Linked DNA regions of Caenorhabditis elegans. The protein of the gene in region 1 interacts with the protein of each later gene in a pairwise test. Each region holds a gene or a part of one and is shown on either strand. Other genes may lie near its edges.

The links. Proteins that work in one complex are often made in the same cells at the same time.
Region 2: the proteins of hlh-19 (region 1) and hlh-2 interact in a two-hybrid assay, tested with the Caenorhabditis elegans proteins (one study listed by BioGRID).

What each region holds. Positions count from the first base shown.
Region 1 is NC_003284.9:553,432-560,650, reverse strand, and holds hlh-19 (BHLH domain-containing protein), read left to right. Parts: upstream 1-3,355; 5' UTR 3,356-3,531; coding exon 3,532-3,578; intron 3,579-4,382; coding exon 4,383-4,558; intron 4,559-4,629; coding exon 4,630-4,742; 3' UTR 4,743-4,859; downstream 4,860-7,219. Other genes in the region: Zinc metalloproteinase nas-38, read right to left, coding at 150-317, 531-661, 710-818, 879-980, 1,030-1,159, 1,548-1,645, 1,692-1,808, 2,182-2,260 and 1 more; F57C12.6 (Cerebellar degeneration-related protein 2-like), read left to right, coding at 6,676-6,812, 6,857-7,156, 7,203-7,219.
Region 2 is NC_003279.8:7,188,563-7,195,819, reverse strand, and holds hlh-2 (Helix-loop-helix protein hlh-2), read left to right. Parts: upstream 1-1,899; 5' UTR 1,900-1,912; coding exon 1,913-2,057; intron 2,058-2,407; coding exon 2,408-2,895; intron 2,896-3,734; coding exon 3,735-4,036; intron 4,037-4,148; coding exon 4,149-4,290; intron 4,291-4,457; coding exon 4,458-4,580; 3' UTR 4,581-5,032; downstream 5,033-7,257. Other genes in the region: plag-15 (PhosphoLipase A2 Group), read right to left, coding at 5,330-5,798, 5,901-6,049, 6,098-6,240, 6,450-6,667, 6,719-6,878, 7,167-7,257. UniProt on the Caenorhabditis elegans protein: Transcription factor which binds the E box motif 5'-CA[TC][AG]TG-3'. Plays a key role in the anchor cell/ventral uterine precursor cell (AC/VU) decision; required for VU fate.

The DNA of each region.
Region 1 (7,219 bases):
TTTCAAATGACACATGTCTCGTTTTGAATTGTGACGGTAAACTAAAAACCTTTCGTTGTCAATAGTATAATCAATTTAAAAAGAGACACAGTGAATATTAAGCTTGAGATAAATATAATAAAATGGTCGTGACACTGTATGTTACTTACAAAAATAACCCCACCACATTGAGCGTTTGACGGGTACACTTGTTCACAATATCTTCCTGATAAACCTTCGGGACATGCGCACATGGAGCAGTTATTGGGGTGGGTGTATCCGTTACGAAGGCATGGAAGGTCTGCGCACGACTCTGTGCATCCATATGCCATGTTAATCTAGAAAGTTTAAAATTTCGGAGCTTTTTTCCATTATTTATAGTGGCTTAAACCAATACACTGCAATTTTTGCAGAACATATCGAAATTTGTTCAACACGGAAAATTTGCGGATTAGGCCGAGTTTGAGTTATTTTCGGCAAATTTTAAATTCTTTCGCACACATAATTTGCGAGCTATATCATTTTCAATCATTAAAAGCTGCTTAACATACTGCTTGGTAATCTAAAAACGATGGGCCAGCTCTTTGACCAATTGTCGACTGCTGAACTCTTTCAAGTGTCCGAATAGTTGGAGTATATGGATCAGACGCAAACCCGTACGGACCATAATGCATGACGCTTCCTGCAAACCGAACAGGCGTGAATGAGAAAATGTATCATTAGTACTAACCGGTGTCATATGGTAGGTTATAAGTTTCCGCGTGATTTTCTCCAACAGCTTGGAAATTATTCCATCTGGAGAGTGGAATATTGTTGTAGTTGATAGCGATATGTCGTTCCTGTAAAATTCGACAACTTCTAATATTAAATTAAAAAGTATTTAGATTCAGTTAACCAACCTGGTCCGGTCGAGCTTGTTCGTGGAAAATACCTAATGCGTGTCCTATTTCGTGACTTATAATCCCAACAACATCACATCCTGGAGTTGAAATAGAAATTCCCTTGAAACTTTTTTTTTTGTTGAAACTTGATTAATATTCAAATTAATACCTGTGTTCCACCAACTCTTCCAACAAAGGAAGAACATCCTCCTCCATCGAAAAACTCTAGTCTATCCACATTTGGACCTCCTTCTTCAAATCGGAGGCATGTATGTTGCTGCCATAGGAGCATTGCACTTCTGAATTTAGAGATTCTTTCACTTAAAGGTGGAGCAGCACCAGTGTGGAAAGTGTCAAAACCTATTCCATCAAATCTACATTTTTCATACTTAAATTTTGTTTTAACTATTCGTATTGAAACATTGTAGGGGTCGGAACATGCGACATTGCTTTGGATTTCCTCAAAGTTGCATACTTTTCAATTTGGCAATTTGCCAAAACTTCGACCGGAAATTATGAAAAATTAAAAAAAATTTAGAGTGTTTTATCATGATATTAGATCGTTTCGGATCATTATAAAAGTATTTAGACAAAATCCCCATTGGCGCTACTCCACCTTTACAAAAATACAACAATTGTAATTTTTGAAACTTCAATTAACAAATAAGTTCTAAGTCTTTCACACACCTGATTTTTTGTCTTGTTTGGAACGGTATACTTTCGGCATAATCAAAACTAATAGGCCCTCTTGTATCCCACTTTTTATACAATGGATTTCTTCCAATCTAAAAATTATTGGGTGACACGCTGTTCAAAAATCCATATTTTCACCTTTCTTTTTTCTCTTTTGCCCTGTGTAAACTGATCTTCAATAATTTTCACTTGTTGTTCAGACAAGTCAACATCTCCTTGGAAATACTCGTCAGCGTTATTCACTGCCAATTCATCCTGTAGATAAAAGCATGAAGAAAAACTGGTCTTGATATGTGTCAAGGTGGTGTAGCTTGCATTATGGGAATGTTTTTTTTTAATAAAAATGTATTAAAAATGTAATGTGTATTGATTTTTTTAAAATATTAAAGAAATCGCACTCAAAACATTGAAAATACTACGAAAACACAATAAGTTGAAACATCCATATCTATGATTCCATATCTATGATTGACTGAAATTAGCTTTCAATATACTTCTAGTTAATTAAACTCTCAATGGATAATTCGATCAAAAAACGAGGTTTTATTGCAATTTCAAGCTTGAAATGTCTATTCAAAAGCCGGTTCATAAACTTTTAAATTATTTAGTTTTGAGTAAAAAGACCAACGTGATGTACTCCTGTATTTGGATTTCGTTGTATATCATCAAAGACAGTAACTGAATCGCTTTGAATTAATGTATTGTGTCTAAAAATCACTTTTTTTCTAGAAATCTTTCACACTTGGCTGAAATGTCACCTACCTTTCAGCTTCATCATTCAGCAGCTGCTTCACCCTGGCAAGATGTTTTTTCGAAGCTTTCGGAACTCGCGCAGCTGATGAAAAAATAAGAAGACAACAAAAACATGAGGCAATAATAATGTGACGATTGTAAGAAGGACTAGGCATTGGGTAGAGAAAGGCGCAGATTTGCCTTCTGCCGCCGATCGTCCACTGTAGTTGTGTGATTGGCTTTTCGTTTTCACTCCTCTGTCTCCGAATCTTTTCTCACCCCTTCAAGCTTCTTCTTTTTCTTCTTTTTCTTCGCTTAACGTGACTCATCTTAGACACATCTTCCGTCGGTTCAGCTGTAAAACTCGCGGGTTTTTCGTTAGTGACTTGGCATACAGGTTTGCTTCAAGGTTTTTCTCGGTTTCACCTTGCAGTAACTAGCTAACTATTGTTCCAACAATGGTGATTCAGATGTTAGGGTCAGGTTCCTTTATGTTTTATTGAACGTAACTGTGGCTATGACGTGATCAATAAAATTAGGTCAATAATAAGAATAAGAAATTAATAATAAAAAGAACGCAAATTTTTTCAAAAGTTACGTATGCACCCAGTATAAAAAAACCCATAAAAGTGTACCTGCAAAAAAATGATTTCCAATATGCTTTCCATTCGTTTTTTTCAATGACAAATTAATAAAACGTGAAATTTATTTGCACATTTAGGTTTACTATTAGGAAAAAGTAAATTCTGAGCCTGATAGGGACAAAAAAAGTTATGAAAACTTTTCAAAATGGTTAACATTTTTGAACAGGTATACTTCACAAATACCATAACTAGAGATATCAGGAACAATTTTCAATTTTCTGAAACACCCCAATCGTTTTTTTTTAACTTTCCGCGACAATTTTTTCTTAAAATTGACCAAACCCTAAAATAAAGTTTTGCAGATTTAGCAAACCACTTCACACTTTTTCTTCCAGTAGGCAGTCAGGCACGAGGCAGGCACGATGTTCCCAATCAGGCTACTTCGGAACAGTTCTATTTCTCTGCACATTTCAGATACACTTACTTACCCCCTTGTGTCCGAGTCCTCATCAAAAACAGCTGTCTCCATTATGACGACCCACTTGAGAGCAATACATATGTACCCCTTACATTTGAATGCTTACCATTTGTCTGAACATAAGATAACAAAATACTTAGCTTTCTTCAGTATTACGTAATTGGTGATATTTTATAAATTCAAAATGTCACGTGAACGTGCTAACGCTCGAGAACGATGCCGGCAAAAATCGTAAGTGCTCCAAACTTTTCAATATTATATTTGGGCTTTCTTTTTGCAAATTTTGTTTGTTTATTATAAGTTAAGTTTGAATATAAATTCAACTGTAAGTTTTATTTTCATAATTAACTATGAAACGTTCTAGATTTTATGAAACAACAATACTCTTTTCTGCATGCGTAAAAAAATCATTCTAAAATTAATCCGTTTATAATATTTTAAACTTGACTCCATTACGTTCCTCAGATAATTTTCAAGTTGTAGTTCAAAAATTGGAAAATATTTCCTCTGTTAGTCTTGCAGCCTCTATTAGTCTTTCACCCCTACGGGCTAATCGAAAATTAGTCTTGCAGCCTCTATTAGTATTGCAGTCTCTAATAGTTTTGCACCCGACTTTTTTCCTGTCCAGCAATATCTTGCATAGAGGCTGCAGCGTTAATGAATTGGCCCATTTTTTGGAAAAATTGAACTCGAGTTTTTGATCAAAAGCGTTCAAATAATTGATGAAATATTGGAAAAGGATGTATTTTTTGTTATTTAAACGATATCAAGTTGAGTTTTTCATGGTCACATTTCGGAGTTTTGAAGCATTCGAAAATCAGTCTTGGAGCCTCTAATAGTCTTGCACTCTCTATTAGTCTTGCATGCCTACGGAACAATTGAAAATTAGTCTTGCATGCAAGACTAATAGAGGAAATACGGTAATTAAATTGATCCTTTTCAAACTTTTCGGAACCTGCAAAATTTTTAGCTTATTTGTATTTTATTTATGTAGCGAACAAATTTAAAACAGAATATTATCTTTGTAAAATTTAGAATCGGCAACGCATTCAACATGTTGCGCAACCATCTTCCGAAGCAATTACGAGATCGAAAACCGTCGAAAGCGGAGACCTTAAAGTCAGCTGCGCAATATATATCTCATCTATTGAGGATTTTGGAGAAAGAAATAGAAAACTCTTCGAATAATTTAAAAGATGAACATCAAAAAGGTGATTTAGAAATATTATCAGAAAAAGTGTTTCTATCAATTGATCTTAAAATTTAATAACTTTTTTTTCAGACCCTAGTTTGACCACGCCTTCACATCTGAATTCGAAAATTGAAGTATGCTATGCACACCAAAATGGAGAATGGGTCCCGCCAGAATGTCATTTTGTTGTGAACTATGATTGAATATTTATTTTTATTAATTGTGTATTGTTTTACCCACTCATTTTTATGCAATTTTTACACTAATCAAACTTTATCAAAAAAACCAATTTTCTATTAATAAATGTGAATGAATAGGTATTGCCATTCTCCCCGCTCATAACTCAAACACTAAAAATGTTTCAAAAAATGTTCACCTATCAAACAATCGCACATAATCATGCTTATTAGTTTCACATGTTTGAACTATCTACAGAACCAATAAAGCAGCCGACACCTCGTGAGAACCTATTTTATGTTAAAATCAAAACGACTGTAACTCCACAATTTTGGTTTGTAACATTGTTCTATCTTAATCTGAAAACAATGCAAAAGAGCGACGAAGCTTTTTCTCAAAGAGCATTAAAAGTTTTCCTTTTAACAAAAAATATAACGGTTTGTCAATAAAACATTCATTTTGATCAGTTTATTTGCATCATTCAACATTCTTTTGCCTTTTTATCAATTTCTACGTTTTTGCCATTTTTAAATGAGCAACAGGAAAACTTCAAACCCGCCAATCATCAGAGGTTTTTCTCAAATCTCTTGTCGCCTATTTCGAGAAGGATTTCCAGTTTTTTTTAATACAGCAAACCATTGTTATCAGTTTGATTGATTTGATTTATTTTCAACATTAAGAGCCAAAAGGTAATACATTATCAGTTGCTGCACGCAAGCAAGCATGCCGCAACTTTCTCTTCCTTTTTGATAACATTGATTTTTTAAAATAATTTTTAGAATGAGCTATACAAACCCTCCAATTCTCCCAACTTTCCGCGGGTTTTCTCAAGACTCTCGACGTCCTTTTCGCGGAGGGTCTCGTGGAAGAGGAGCAGGATTCAGAGGAGTGTATCACCCTTCAGTTATCCCGCAGGTTCCTTTGTTACAAGCCACTTTGGCTAATCAGGATGACACACAAAATGTTTTGATACAGTAAGTGTTTGAATGTGGCCAGATTTCCCACACTTACGATTTTTAGAACGAACTACCCGAATCAGCCAAATCCGTCGAAATAGGGTCACCTCAAAGCTTTCGTCGCCCATTTCGAGGAGGGTTTTCTGGACGAGGAGCGGGGTTGAGAGGTGGTTATATCCCAACTGCTGTTCAGCAGTTTCATCCAGAAATCGTTCTACAAAACCAGGATAATCAGCAAGAGGCATTGATTCAGTAAGTTTTATCACTGATTGTTTTATACTCACGTTCTTAAAAAAGGAGTATCCTAAATGGGGAAATTGTCTTAAAATGTAATAATCGTGCTCAAACTTACGAAAATAACAAAAGAATAACGGGAAAAATTAATTTCAAATTTGCGCGTGAATGAATCTTAGGCCACCACGCGATTCCTAGAAAAAATTCGTTCAACAAAACATTGATATCAATTTCATTTTTCCAACTTTAATTAGTTTTTCTCTCTCAAAAAGTTTAAGAAAACTGAGAAGAAGGAATTTTATAAAATACTTATTCAAAATACAATACAGAACAGGTTAAATATTTGAAAATCCTCATGGCCTAGGATTTCTTTAGTTAAATTTTAAAGATTTTTTGCCGATTTTTCTGTCTCAAAATGCTCAATGTTAACGGATTTTTCCCGTTTTCTTTTGTTATATTCATAAGTTTGAGCACAAATGTTACATTTTAAAACAATTCCCCCATTCAGAATACTCCTTCTTTAATGCTTGGTCAGTCAACGTTTGGTAACTTTGATGGTACTCAAAAACCATTGTAGTTTCCGAAACACGGTTTTTGAATAAGATTTCAATTGATCTGTTCATAGTTGCAAGTTGAGTTTAGGACTGTTTTTTTTGGCAGCCTCGCCAGCCCCACTGCAGTCATTTTTTTCAGAAAACTCAACGAGGCTAATTCTCTAAATGAGAAGCATAAACTGGCAATCACCCAGTTACATAGAAAAATTGCACAGATGAAACTGGAAAAACAACAGTTGGAATCTCAGGTGCCAGCGAACAACCCACCGGACACCTCAAATGCAGTTTTGGGCCAGGATGGCGGTGTTGGACTTAGTCTGTCTGAAATTAATACGATGCTAGAAAATGTGAGGTAAGTTCTTTGATGTTTTGGACTTTTCACATGATATTGAACAGAGTCAGATTAACCGAAGAAGTCAATGAACATATCGTGGCGATTTCAAATCTATCCCACGAGAATGAACAATTGAGACACGAAAATTCAACTCTCAAAATGCTATACGACGAGAACATCATAGAGGTTGACACATTGGCAATGATAAGTGCTGCCTTATCATTAACTGATCATAACACCAACCAACAACCGACAGAAGAAATAGCATTGGAAAGTGAGCTGCAAGATACCGACTGTGTCATTTGTCATGAAGAAATGCGTCTTAAAAATGCAATACATGTCGCAGAAGGTTTCATAAAAGTGTAAGTTTGAAGATGTTTTGATAGCTTTGATTATTCTACTTTTCAGTGTGTCGACAGATGGGT
Region 2 (7,257 bases), on another chromosome or scaffold:
TGCCTTATCTAGATAAAATACCCTATTTGATCTGTCAATGATCAGATAAATCTTCTAAAATGATTGAAATCTGATTGAGACCTATCTTTACTTGCATCCCTTTTTCAACATTCTCAAATAAGTATCACCATTTAGTTAATCATATTTGTAGAACAAATTCGTCATTATTACCGTATTTCTAACTTTTTCTAACCAAACCATTGAGCACTTGAATTTGATGACAGCTGCACTCCGTCCCACAATAGACACCTCCCCAAATACTCTCGAGAAAAAAGTTCCAGTACCGTATACTTTTGACAACATCTGTCAAAAAATGCACTTTAGAGACGGGCATTGGAAGTATCATTTCTTTTTATAATTGTTGGTTTATTACCACAGAGAGACAATTTTAGGATATGGCTCAAGATATTTGAAGACTCGAGTAGTCCCACAGTATTGTGATTGCTGAAACTTCTGTTGTGAATATGAGTAACTTTATTCTAATAAAATATACCCCTTTCCTGTGCACACTCTTTCTCTCACTCTTACCATATTCTGAAGAATTAAAATTTCAGAGATCCCTACAAAACTCTAATAACATGCTTCAAAAATGAATGTACTCCCTACAGTCGGGTGGCGACATTTTCCCCCAAGAGAGCTGACCTCTTCTATTCATTCAATCCCCTTATTCATTCAATCCTTCCCCCATTTTCCTCTCATTTCACCCAAAAAAGACTGGTGAATGAATGGTGGGAGAAGAGATGGAGGACCCCGGGATAATAGAGGATTGTGTGCTGCAGGAGGTAGAGAGAGATGGTTGTGGGCGTGACCTCTCCCGATCATCGTCTCTGCGTCTCTTGGATGTAGACGGTCCCCGGGAGAAAGAATGTCTGCGTCTATGTACACCAATATACTGTTTATGTCCCTTGAATGGGCTTTTATACGCGTCCCTCCACTACCACCACCCTCGAAGAACCATTCCTAGCCACCCGCATAGCCGCTAAGAAGGGGGGAGTGCACTCTTTTCGTCTTTTTTTGTGTCTAAATCTGTTCCGTTTACTAGCTTTTCAAGTTCATGATCTTACTGTAATAAAACATAGCACATATTTTGAATGAAATACATAATGTATCCCATCTTCTGATTTTGAAAATTAAAATTTCTCTCCTCCCAATTTTCAATTTTGGATCTTTTACCAAATAATTTTGATCTGCATTACTTTTTCTCACTCCTACAATGTTTACGAATCCTTACCAATTTTGAATTTAAACAAGAACGCAAATGTATTGTAGGGCAGTTTTTTTTTCAATTATTGAGTTTATCAAAAAATGTATATTTGCATCCGAAATGTTACTAGCTCACGTTTAAAGCTTTCATATATATCTTATCCTACGTCTGAATTTAAACTAATTATTTAGATGGGCCTGAAACCCTTTGATCCATCACCCCTTTACTGTTATTTTATTGCTCTTTCGGGATGTCATCCATCCGATAATCATCTACAATGACATCTACATTTACAACTATTTCTTGATACCATCTCAACATCATTACCTCCCTACAAATTGTTCTCCTTCAAGTAACTTGCTCCTAATAATTTATACCGGAACTTAGTAGATCTATTGTGACGTCACAATTATTATTCTTTATTGATCTACCTTGCCTCTTTTGATCTCGTTTGCCTATTTAACCAAACGAGGAGAATCGATTATTTTCTTCTTTTTCTTATTCTCAATATTTCTTCAAATGGGGTTGTCTTGACGAAAATCTAATCAGAATATATTTACTAACCTAATTTTTTCACCTGCTGCTCCAGCCCAATTCCCTACTTATTCCCTTTCCTCTCCCCGCTTCTCCGCTGACTTTATTTCTTTGACATTACTACTATAATCGTCTTTCATATCATTTCGCAGAAATAAAGTTTTCAGAACCTCAATGGCGGATCCAAATAGCCAACTTACGTCAGCCACAACTGTTGCAACTGCCGCCATTGCTCAACCACAGGTTATGCTTCCAAATGCATATGATTATCCTTATAATATTGATCCGACAACGATTCAGATGCCTGATTATTGGAGTGGTTAGTCTTTTTTTCATTTGAAATCTATTATAATTTCAATTATATCATTTGGTAAACCAAACCAAACATGTTTTCGTGAATTTGTTAAAAGTCGCTTGTAATCAGTTAGAAATATTGGATAAATTGCAGAAAAAGGATATAAGTTTGGTATTACTTATCTCGAATTGTTGAATTGTTGATTTTATAAGCTCGCAAATTTTTAAAATTTACTTTAAGTTGAAACAAAATGTATAACTCTTTTAATGTTCTAAAATTTTGTAAAAATCTGGTTTGCTCTAGTAAGTAGTTTATTAACCAAAATGTTTATATCTCATTTCTCAAGTGCAAGTCATCTAAATAAACATTTTCAGGATACCATCTCAACCCGTATCCTCCGATGCAAACAACGGATATTGATTATTCATCAGCCTTCCTTCCAACACATCCACCAACTGAAACCCCTGCTTCCGTAGCTGCTCCAACTTCTGCAACATCTGATATTAAGCCAATTCATGCAACATCATCCACTTCAACGACGGCTCCATCTACTGCTCCAGCTCCAACTTCAACTACTGATGTGCTTGAGTTAAAGCCAACAACAGCTCCAGCCACGAATTCTGCAGAAACATCAGCGATTGTTGCTCCACAGCCTCTTACTAATCTTACCGCACCAATTGACGCAATGTCATCAATGTATACATGGCCACAAACATATCCAGGTTACCTTCCACCTTCAGAAGATAACAAAGCAAGTGAAGCTGTTAATCCATACATCTCAATCCCTCCAACATATACATTTGGTGCTGATCCATCAGTTGCCGACTTCTCATCGTATCAGCAGCAACTTGCTGGACAGCCGGTACGTTTCTATTCTTCTTGGTTTTATTCGTGTTTTACTGTTTTACCACAAGTTAATCTCGACGAATGATTGCTTGGCCCTCCTCAGCCGCCAAGCATTCACGTATGCATAATCCGCTTCCTTTTGATGTGAGCCGCCGCCTTCTGAAGATTGAGATGCATGCAAAAGGCGGCATCTTCTTGAGAAGAACACCCTGTGCGCACTAAACGACCTCCAAAAAAGTCACTAATGTAAACATAAAACAAGGAGAAACATACAGAAAAGATGGATTAGTTACATAATTAGGCAAAGTTTATCGCTTTTTTTGTTGGAGGAAATTTTTGAGATTCTTTCAGTTTTCTTTAAAATAATTTTTGCCATATGACAATACTAAACATTAAGATTCTGAACTACTGTTGTCGTGAACAAAGTTTTGAGACCCTGATGACATTTTTTTGCGTTCCAGTCTTGAGAAATCTAGAATAATATGGTAAAATCCCTGTATCCAACCTCTGACTAGTGAATAACTAAATTGGCCAAAATTTGAAGCTCTTGCTTTTTGCATTGTTACCCAATAGCCGGTCACATTTTCTGATGGTGTCCTCGAAAACCGAAGGGGGCTATTGACCGACGTCGCCGCATGATTAAGTGGTGAACAGAGACGGTCACATTGCGGGGTTCAGTACATTAAAGAGATCGATTGATTTGACTCGGCCCCCAATAGTACCATTTGAGAGAATTAACTGACTAGCAAGGCAAATGAAATTAATTCTTTGTTTTGTTTCATTGAGAGAAAAAGTTGAGTAGTTTTAGATGAGGGTTATAGAAATTATAAAACCAAAAACAATGAAATATTGCAGAATGGTCTTGGTGGAGATACCAACTTGGTTGACTACAATCATCAATTCCCACCAGCCGGTATGAGCCCACACTTTGATCCAAATGGATATCCAGGAATGACCGGAATGCCACCAGGATCAAGTGCATCATCTGTTCGAAATGATAAGTCTGCATCAAGAGCAACGAGCCGTCGTCGGGTACAAGGCCCTCCATCTTCTGGAATTCCAACTCGCCATTCATCGTCTTCAAGGCTTTCTGATAATGAATCAATGAGTGATGACAAAGATACGGATAGGAGATCACAGAATAATGCTCGAGAAAGGTGAGGAGTTTTTTACTTTTAAGACGTTTTGAATTGAACATTGGAAATTGACAATTACATAGTAATTTAATCGAGATATCTCCAAATCTAATCTAATACAAAAAACTTACAGAGTACGAGTTCGTGACATCAATTCGGCATTCAAAGAGCTCGGACGAATGTGCACACAGCACAATCAGAATACAGAACGGAATCAAACAAAATTGGGAATTCTACACAATGCAGTATCTGTGATTACACAATTGGAAGAACAGGTTAGATAATTTTTCATATTTTAAAGAAACATTCAAATTGTGAACAAAATTAATTGGCAATTGTTCGACTGCTGTATTTTTGACTTTGAAGCACATAACATTGCGATGGAATTTATTCGAAAAATTTAAACAAAACACTGAACAAGTTGAAATTTATAATTTTACAGGTTCGTCAACGAAATATGAATCCAAAAGTGATGGCTGGAATGAAAAGGAAACCTGATGATGATAAAATGAAGATGCTTGATGACAATGCACCATCCGCGCAGTTTGGACATCCACGGTTTTAAATTTAAAAATTGACTTTTTAAGCATTTCAAACTATCATTCCCAATCTTCTCCCAATCATCCATACGGCTAAAACTCTCTAGCATATTGTTTTTTTGTTCAAACTATTCAAATGTTCCCCTTCATCTCCCTCCGGATTGGAGGTCCTGTGATTTCTCAACTTCAATCAGTTTTCAGTTTTAAAAATTTTAAACTTTATTACAAGATCATCACAATTTTCTGTATGTTTTTAATTTATTTTCTCCTCTAAATTTAAATCAATCAATAGCTAATTCTAATATTTCAAGTATTAAAATTAACTTTCATATTATTCATTCATTCAATCAACTTCTTCCAACTTGTCTTATTTTTTGTGTGTGTGTATGTGATAAACCATAGCTAATTAGTATCTACTTGAAATGAAATGGTCCACTCAAAAAAAAAGACACCGCCAACTAATTTCACACATGAATTACTCTATTGGGTAACTGTTTCAACACTTTAATTATCCAAGCTCCGATGAAGTGCTAATGTCCTTCGCAGTATGGATTCCACTTTATGTTGAAAGGGATTCCCATTTATAATTAGACATTTAGTTTGACTTTCTAAGTCGTTGAAACGAGATGTTTTTTTCATGGTCTGTCAAAACTGATGTATAGGAATATTGGATGTATAAAATGTCAACAACGGGAAAAAATGTGATACAAACATAATTCATTCACCTTGATCAAAACAAACAAAATTTTAAAATTCAGAACCCTTTTTGCATCACTCAAATTAACTGGAAAATGGCTTTTCGGACAAGTTCAATTGCATTTGGATGTTTAAGAATTGCCATGTGATCAGCTTGAAATACTTCGTGTACAGTAACCTTATAACCATTATTATTTCCAATCCAATTAGTGCACACTGTAGCTGATTTTTTGTTCACTGTCCCGTCTCCATCACCCATGAATTCAGTTGGTGGATAATCTGGAAAGTATCCGGGAGCCCATGAAAACTTTTCCGGTGTGGGGACTCCTGTTCCATAAATACAATGAACTGGAACTCCTGGAGAACTTAAATTTCCATTCAGACGGGCGGCCTGTTTGTATTGTTCCCATCCAACCATGTAATTAATGTCTTGAAAGAATTCTTTAATATTTCCAACAGTGTAGTTTTTGTCAGCAGTTGTCGCTAATATTTCATGTGGTTTCCATGCAACTGGACTTGGAAACAGAAAGGCCGAAGAGGAGAATGATCTGAAGAACCAAATAAGTTGAAGAAAAACATAATTTGGTAGTCTTAGCACCATAAGAGTAAATATTTCACTTTTAAGTTTCCAAACACCTCAAAGTGCTTACCTTTGCATTGCTCTCAAGCTACTCGGTGGTAGAATAACTCTATAATAATTCATATTATATCCAGATGCAAATAATCGAACAATTTGCATTGATCCAGCCCATGGAGCCGCCAAACTAACAAAACTCGATATGTATTTGTCTTTCCAAGCCTGGAAACAATAAGTGTTATTTCATCTAACACCTTTCAATTATCTCACCTGATCCACATAATTATTCAAGAAATACAAAGAAAGGGGATTACCCATACTGTGACCGACGAGTACGATCTTTTGATTGTCATTCCAGCGATATGTGGTTTCAATTAAGGACTTCAGTTGAATGAGATAATCGTTTAATTCATCTGAAATTGTTTAGAATTAAATACAAAGTTGGTTTGGTAATTCGGAGTGCAAAAAAACGGTTTTGCTGATCTTTGTGAGCAAGTTCGCAATTGGAAAGTTGGCGCAAACGGTACGCGGACTTTTAGCGCGGGTATAAACCAGAAAATGTCAATTTCTATGAGAAACAAATGAACCTATGTATTCTCTTAATTCTGAAGGCTCAACTCACTTGGGGATTTTCTCCAATCAAAAGGTGCTCCAATGACATTTTTTCCTCTTCGATAACCCCATGAAACCATCGAATCAACGATATCAAAGAAGTATCTTCCCTGTGATGCTTTACTCTTATCCAACCATTCAACACTTTCAGTTGCTCCAAATCCAGCAACTCTAATGTCAACTCCTGGCATGTTTTCAGACAATCCTGTGGTTGTGTTGAACACTAATCTGAAATGTTATTAAATTGATTTTCTTTGCTCTGGAAATAATGAAACTTACTGCATGTTATCAGCCCAACAATCAATAACCAAAGGTGTGAAAAGTTGTAGATTAAGCCAAAGATCAAAATAATCGGCTGTCTGCTTGGAGCAAACATAATGCACAACTGATGGTTTACCCGTTAGATTTGATTCCAGCTGGCTGCCTCCATCACCAGGCACTGAAAACTATACAATATATTTATTGCGATTTTTTAAATTCCAATTTGCTAAAAACGGACTAAAACTAATTTGGAATGTATGAAACTTTTTAGAACTCGTATTAGAAAGTACTAGATATCTTTTCAATTCTGATCAAATAAAACATCAGAACTGAGAACTTGAACAATTGTGGATGTAATTCAAAAATATAAAATTTAAAATTTAAAATAAAGAAATATAATTACAGTAGACCGACCGAACGACTTGAAAGATTTAAAGTTAAGAAATCAAATAAAACAAAAGCTCACCGAGAATCACCGGAAGTCCTTTCGCTTGTGATCTGCCAAACTTTCCAAACCATTTCGTGTCACTTTTTCCAATTAAAACCAAGAAAATACA